2 linked regions of the Medicago truncatula genome follow. The protein of the gene in region 1 binds, or shares a complex with, the protein of each later gene. Links are inferred from orthologs where the notes say so. Each region holds a gene or a part of one and is shown in the gene's direction. Other genes may lie near its edges.

Evidence for each region. The genes of interacting proteins can lie anywhere in the genome.
Region 2: transcription initiation factor TFIID subunit 1 (region 1) and transcription initiation factor TFIID subunit 13 share a complex: the UniProt entries of both Arabidopsis thaliana proteins name them as parts of the TFIID complex. The link is inferred for Medicago truncatula from reciprocal best matches to the Arabidopsis thaliana genes HAF01 and TAF13.

What each region holds. Positions count from the first base shown.
Region 1 is NC_053046.1:11,046,298-11,049,897, reverse strand, and holds the start of transcription initiation factor TFIID subunit 1, read left to right. Parts: upstream 1-1,071; 5' UTR 1,072-1,123; coding exon 1,124-1,175; exon of another isoform or gene 1,176-1,451; coding exon of another isoform or gene 1,452-1,494; intron 1,495-2,289; coding exon 2,290-2,396; intron 2,397-3,249; coding exon 3,250-3,312; intron 3,313-3,514; coding exon 3,515-3,560; intron 3,561-3,600. UniProt on the Arabidopsis thaliana protein: TAFs are components of the transcription factor IID (TFIID) complex that is essential for mediating regulation of RNA polymerase transcription. Core scaffold of the TFIID complex.
Region 2 is NC_053042.1:42,954,331-42,958,166, forward strand, and holds the start of transcription initiation factor TFIID subunit 13, read left to right. Parts: upstream 1-967; 5' UTR 968-1,125; intron 1,126-1,872; 5' UTR 1,873-1,893; coding exon 1,894-1,996; intron 1,997-2,079; coding exon 2,080-2,117; intron 2,118-2,230; coding exon 2,231-2,290; intron 2,291-2,392; coding exon 2,393-2,467; intron 2,468-3,016; exon of another isoform or gene 3,017-3,753; intron 3,754-3,836. UniProt on the Arabidopsis thaliana protein: TAFs are components of the transcription factor IID (TFIID) complex that is essential for mediating regulation of RNA polymerase transcription. May be involved in polycomb repressive complex 2 (PRC2) mediated repression.

The sequences.
Region 1 (3,600 bases):
CCACCAACAAAATCACAATCACAACAACATATACAATCAAAGTTCAAAGTTCTAACATCAAAGTCCCAATTTTTTCTCTAAAATTTCATCTAGTATTTGTTACCTAAATACTCAAATTAAGAGTATCAATTTAAAATTACCTCGAGTTTAATAAATAAGAGATTTTTTTGGCGGTGTCCGGGATTCGAACCTCAGACCTTGCATATATTATGCATTATCCCTACCAACTGAGCTAAACTCACGCGGATACTTAATAAATAAGAGATGAATGCACACTTTTTTTTTTTGTTTGAGTTTAATAAATAAATGGCTTAAATATGCATTCTGTCCCTGTAATTAAAGTACTTTTTGATTTTCGTCCTTGTAAAAAAAAATTTAAAAACATCCTTGCAATTTTTTTTTTGTTTTAAAAACATCCATGACCCCACTTTTTTGCTGACATGGGATGACTTTGGCCAAATGGCAGTTGCCACATCATTAAAAATATTTTTTAAAATTAAAAAAACTGAAAATAAATAAAAAAATCATAAAAAAATTCCATTTTTTTTAAATGAAGAAAAAATTGGAAATTAGTTTTTTTTTTTAAATCTGGAAATAAATGTTTGAAAAATAAAATAAAAAATTATATAATCTCAAAATTTATAACTTTTGAAAATATAATTTTCAGTTTTATTTTCGAATTTTTTTAATTAAAAAAAAGAATTTTCAGAATTTTGAAAGAAAAAAAAATTTAGTTAAAAGTCAAAAATTTAATTTTCAGCTTTTTTAATTTTTTTTATGATTTTTAAATTTATTTTCAGATTTTTTTAATTTAAAAAAAAATTTTGAAAAAAAATAAATAACTAATTATGTGGTATGCCAGGTCAGTATCATGTGGCAAAAGTTGCATAGTCAGCAATTATAGTTGCACAGTCAGCAACTATCATATGGTCAAAACAATTTAATTTTTTGCAGGATATTTTTAAAATATTTTTTTATTTTACAAAAGAAAAAAATCAAAATGCGTCTGAAATTACATGGACGAATGCCATATTTAAAATAAATATATGAATAAACCATCTCAAAAAAAAGAAAGAAACACAGCAAAATCGCAAATCGCAAATCGCAAACCTGAACAAAGAGAATGAAGCAAGAAACAGCAACACCAGAATCGCAAATCGCAAGCAGGAAGAGAAGTAAGTAATTGATTTGTGTAAAAAAGATAAAATTCAGGTTTGAGATGCCTGACTTGCACAAAAGATAAGATTCTTTCTTCTCCTGTTCAAATTTCTGAATTTTCAAGTCTGTAACGGAGTCCGTAACGGCGTTCCGTATCGGCGATTTTCCTGTGATTTTTGTTCTCGACGTGAAAAGGTCCAAAAACGGTCACGGTGGCCGCTGATACCGTTTTGTAACGTCCGCAATTCCGGTACCGGTCCGTTTTTTGAAACCTTGATCCGCTCAACAACAACATGGGGTATGATTCGGATAATTCACAAGATGGGAGAAACGAAGGTAACTTTGTTTATTGAAGATTTTAGAATAGGAGTATCAGAAGTTAAAGGAACTAGGAGAAAGTGGAAGTGTATGAATGTGAAATTTAATTATAGTGTTTCTCAGATTCAATATTAATTTTTTTTTTTTTGAAGGAGCACTATTAGAAGCTAGAAATGTAATGAAACCCTAGTTTACTCAAATAAACAACTCTGGGCATCGAGTTAAGTAATGATAAATACGAATCAGGAGCAGTGGGACGGAGTTTTCGCTTCTAAATTTTGTGAAAATGATCGATTGATGTATCACCGAGAATCTAGATGTATTTTCTTTGCTTATAATGGATGTTTATGAAAGTTAAGCTTTCTAGTTGCACCGGCACTTTAAGAATAGGCTTAGTCATTAAGGGTAAATCTGGGAGATGGATTTTGGAGGGCTAAGTCTTATATTTTAGTATATATTTGAGAATTTAAAATAGGTGAAAGAATGCCATGGTATATGATCATATAACAATTCAATCACACTTTATTCATTTACATGACATATAACAATTCATTGCACTTCATTATTTTTTTAACATACTTTATAGCTTTCATAATTTAGAAGAGAAAACAAGTCCTCCCCTCCCCTCCAAAATCTCTCCCCTAAACAAACCCTAAAGTAGGATTGACTTGGTGGCATCATTGTTAATTGCTATGTGCTGAAATATGTCAAGCCGTTTGTCTGTGAGTTTGACGCGGTGTTGATTTATTTAGCTTCGTTTTTTTGGTTTATATAGTTCATTAACTCAGTATGTTCAATAATTTGGCTTGATAGATGATGAAGAAGAATATGAGGAGTCTGGCAAGGGTAATCATTTTCTCGGGTTCATGTTTGGAAATGTTGATAATTCTGGTGATCTCGATGTTGATTATCTTGATGAGGTAATTTAATGTGTCCTTTGATGTTTCTGTGAACTTGCTTGTTGAAATGTTTTGAGAACCAAGATCGGGCTTCTGCATGCATATATTTGTTATTTTGCTTGATTGATTCCCTACGCACCTTCTCAGTAGTTTCCTGAAATTTCTAAGCTATTGTAGTATCATCATGATTGGTATGCGGAGGGTTTTGAAGTTGCTAAACTTTTTTATATTAGAAGATTTAAAACCATTTTTACTGTTTCTGTAAAAGAAAAAACCATATTTACTGTTTTGAGATATATTATTTTTTGGGAGGAGGACAGGTTTTTACAAAAACCTTTATTGTAGCTTTTTGAAAAACAAAAAAGGATGCAGTTTGGACATATTGGCGCAGTATGGTTGTCTAAACTAAAGAATTACCTGAGATTCAACTTTGGAAGATTTGATTTAGTAGTGTGCATAGATTCTTATTTGTTAAGATCAAGTGGTTATTTTACAAGTCAAATTGATCTTTATTAAATAGGTTTAAGACTTTAGGCATCATAATTTTCAACTGAGTATAGAGTGCGATAAAAGCTTGCCTTTGTATGTGTACAACAAGATTGATGTTAATGCCTATACTTTGAACTACTTTTAATGATCTGTTGGAGGTTCCAGATCAATTATTCTTTGTAGGATCTGTTGGAGGTTCCAGGATAATTGTTCATTTAGGATTTGTTTTCTTATTTTGAAAAATAGAATTATAATTATTCTTAGAATTATAATTATTGTGGGATGCACATTTTCTTGTTCTGGATCGTTTATGCTTTCTTCATTTGTTTATGTGTTTTGGTCAAAAACAGTAAAATTGGTGCTAAATGAGAATTTTTCCTTTTAGGATGCAAAGGAGCATCTATCTGCATTGGCTGACAAGCTGGGTCCATCATTGACAGATATAGATGTAAGGATATCAAATTTATTATTATTGTATTTTTTTTTTACTGTACATATCTAGATATCATTATCAGGCTGTAGTGTTGAATTTATAAATCAAAATGCTATCTTCTGATTTGGTTAACAAGCGTTAACTGTTAATTTTTCTTTGTATTTTCATTGTCTCCACCTCTTCAATTTTCCTTGATAAGAATGTGCTCTGTTTGCAGTTGTCAGGAAAGTCACCACGAACACCGCCTGGCATTGTTGAACAAGGTGAAGTTGTCTGTCAGGAAAAACTATATCATGCAGTTTT
Region 2 (3,836 bases), on another chromosome or scaffold:
AATAAAAAACCGCAAACTGAACCAATCCAAACTGAAATTGTAAAAAACCGCATTTGGTTCGGATGTATTTGGATCACTTTCTTACTCAACTGTATAGTTTAGTTTGGTTTGTGGTTTTTATTTTATCAACCGAACCAAACCAAATCAAACCGCAACATAAGATAAACACTAATTAAACATTTGTCACCTAAACCAAACACTCACATAGCCTCAATGATAACTTTTATAAAATGACATATTTTTTGCTTTGTTAAATTTCTTATTTGATTTTTATTTCAAAAATATATCTGTGTTACTTGGACTTTTAGATAATGTAAAATCTTAGTATTTAGAATTTCTTTCGAAATAGGATAACTTTTTATCCATCTTTTTAATTTGGTTTATGTTGTTGGGAACATTGTTAGATGAAAATGAAATTGTAATGTTGAATGACATTTAAAACATCGTTGAAAACATAGCTGAAAATATGTTGTGTTCTAGCTTTTTAACTTGATTTTAACGTTGAAAACAAAAAATTGTATGAGAAAAACCACACCAATTGATCCAACCCAAACCACATTGGTTTGGTTTGGTTTGATTCAGATTTTATTTTAAAAGCCGACCGAACTAAACCAAAACGCATGTCTGTTTATCTTACAGTTCATATGACTTTTAAGTATTAACCGTAAAACTGAATCAAACCGCACCGCGAACACCCTAGTTATTACTTGTAATTTTTATTTAACATTTTTAAACATTCAACAATATTAACAATCCAAATTGTTACACCCCTACTAAGCATTTATATTTTGTAACAAAATTTGGTTCCTACAATTACTTATTTATGTTCTATGAAAATTCTACTAAGACCAAGTTCTTTATGAAAATCTTACTAAGGCCCACTTACGTTTTATGAGAACCTTATTAAAACCGCGTAAAATTAAAATATAATTGAAAATATTCCAAATTTTTCTTTATACAAAATAATTAAAAAGGTGGCTTTTATAATTCCCTCAACAAAAAAATGGCTTTTATGATTGCTTAAGCAGTGCACAGTAAAACAACCTACAAACGTTGCTAATCCACATCTCGCAGCGTGGGAGACCCATCAACGTAGCGCACCCTAAACGGAGCCGTTTCTTCGAGGTAAGAAGATCCAACCCACACTGCTCTTTCTTTCATTCGTTCGATTCAGTTACTTGAAACATGCAAATTTTGCTGTGTAATGCTAGGTTAATTGTAGTCCCTGTTTTGTTCATTGTTGAAGCAAAATCATCATAACCCATAATAACTCAATACGAAAACAGGGTAATAAGTTCTCAAATTAGGGCTTGATTTGGTAGAACAATAATTGAAGATAATGGAGAAATGCATATTTTAGTTGTTACAATTCTGTGAAACTAATGGGGTGCAGAAAAATAACCCCTTTTGTTTGTTTTCTTGTTTAACATGTTTGTTCGCAAGGTGTTTGTCAAAATGCCTCAATAAGGTTAATACCTGAATTGGAAATTTTATCATAAATAAATAAGTTTAGTTGTATTGCATGAAATACTGACACATACACAGACACGATCTTGACACTGACACATACACAGACATGATCTTGACACTGACACATCAACACTAGTGATAAAAAAAGTGAATTAATTGAATGTAATCACATTTGTAGTTTTCAGACACCCGACACGCCTTCAATCAGAGGTGTCAGTGATACGATGGTTGTATTTGTATTCATTTTGATGACTATAAGTGTAGTCATCATTCCAGTTTTTATTCTATAGGATTATGTGTGCACAGGAAGCATAGCAGAACCTGCACACATTTATCAAAAAATTCAAGTTTTATGTATTTTCAGTTTCCTCTTTCCTCTAACTATAGTTACTAAAATGACAGTGGAAGCATTAACCAACAACAATGAGCAATTCTGCCGCCGGAACCTCATCAAAACAAAGAGCAGCTTCCTCACAACCACCAGACACTTCATCCAAGCGCAGAAGAGGAGTTTTCCAAAGAGAATGTAATAATTTTTGTTCCTAAGTTTTTAAATTTTAGCGTAGTTATTTCTATTGTCTTCCTAATCTTCTTCATTGGTTTCTATAGTGCAGCACATGATGTATGGCTTCGGAGATGATCCTAATGTAATTCTCATTCTAACTTTTTCATTTTTCATACTATGTTTGCAAATTTTTTATTCTTTAGATTATGATATTAATTTGAACTTTTACTTATTCTTGTTTTCCACTTGAATTAGCCACTTCCTGAAAGTGTGGCGCTTATGGATGACATCGTTGTAGAATATATTACAGAACTGGTAAGTATCATTCTAATGTATCTAATTGTTCAACTTAGTCTAAGTGCCACGGAGTGGTTGGCCTTTGTCCTTACATGATTTTTTATTTATTTTTTTGTCAAGGTACATAAAGCACAAGATATTGGATCACAGAGGGGGAAGCTATCAGTTGAGGATTTCCTCTATTTGATTCGCAAGGTACTCTTTTGTTAATAAAAGTTGCAAATATAAATCTTGGGGAACAAGAATCTAAATTTATCTTCAAATACTGCTGGAAATGGAATGCTACATACATGCTGTTGTCACTATTCTCAAGGGAACCATGTGATTTAAAAAAGTTTAATCACCTGCCCAACATGTATTAAAAGAGAAATGCAAAACTAAATAAATGAAGGGTTAATGGTGCTTTACCCCCTGTCATATAGGTCATTTTTGGTTTTCCCCCTGTAAAATATTTTTTTTGATTTACCCCCCTGTAAATTTTTTTTTTTTTTTTTACAGGAAAACCAAAAATGACCTATATTACAGGGGGTAAAGCACCATTAACCCATAAATGAATAACTTAACTGTTATAAGAATACTAAGAAAAGCTAACTAAAATTCTAATGAACATTTCTGTACACAGAATACTATACTTATTGAACATCTTTTTGTAAGTACTTTATTTAAATCTTACACTTCTATTAGCTAGAAATATCACTTCTGGTCTGCCTTTATGGATATATGGTCTTCATTTGCTTATTGCAGGCAATAAGCATGCTATGTCACAGTGGCCTGCAATGGTGGTTTAAAGTTAATAGTTGGGAAGTTGTTAGTTGTTAGTTAGTTACTGGTATTAGTCTCCAATTCAATTTTTATACGAGTCTTTAAAGGTCTTCTACAGAGAATTCTTTCTCAAGTAGGATATTCCCAAGCTTCTATAAGCCAAAGTCGGTATTAATGGTTCTTAAACTTCAAACCTGTGAATCAGTTCCTAATCCTAAATAACCTGTATTGGTTCAATAATCGGTTATCTAATGTATCTGTCAAATCTGAGGTTAGGATCTATAATCTTGCCTTAAATCGCTTAACTCTTTGGATCAACAGGGTAATTGTATGGTACATTATTCATTAACAATGAATATGGGCACTGTTAGCACTATAATAGCCGGACTGCTGGACACAGTTCTGTTGTTGACTATACGCTGCCAACTTCCTCATCTTAAACTTGATTGACCATGGTGCTGTCCTTTGGACCCCACTCATGCATAATTATGCTGTACATATATCTCTTGTTTTGATTGTACATTTTTGTTGAGATTTCCCTCCCTTCTTCCATAGGCTTTATAGTTCTAGGACAATTTATCAGATTAACATTAGATCTCTTATCATTGATCAAACTTTGGGTTGAGTGAACTTTGTCTTTTGAGGATTAATAAGTGCTACTAATGAAGCTAAATGCACCATAAGATGCTAAGATTATGTGTTGCAGCCTCCTTGCAGAGGTTAGTTTTCTGGTTCCTTAAAGGCTCATACACACTTCGGCTTAAACCTTTCCTACACTTGGCCAGGAGTTCTGAGATATAAA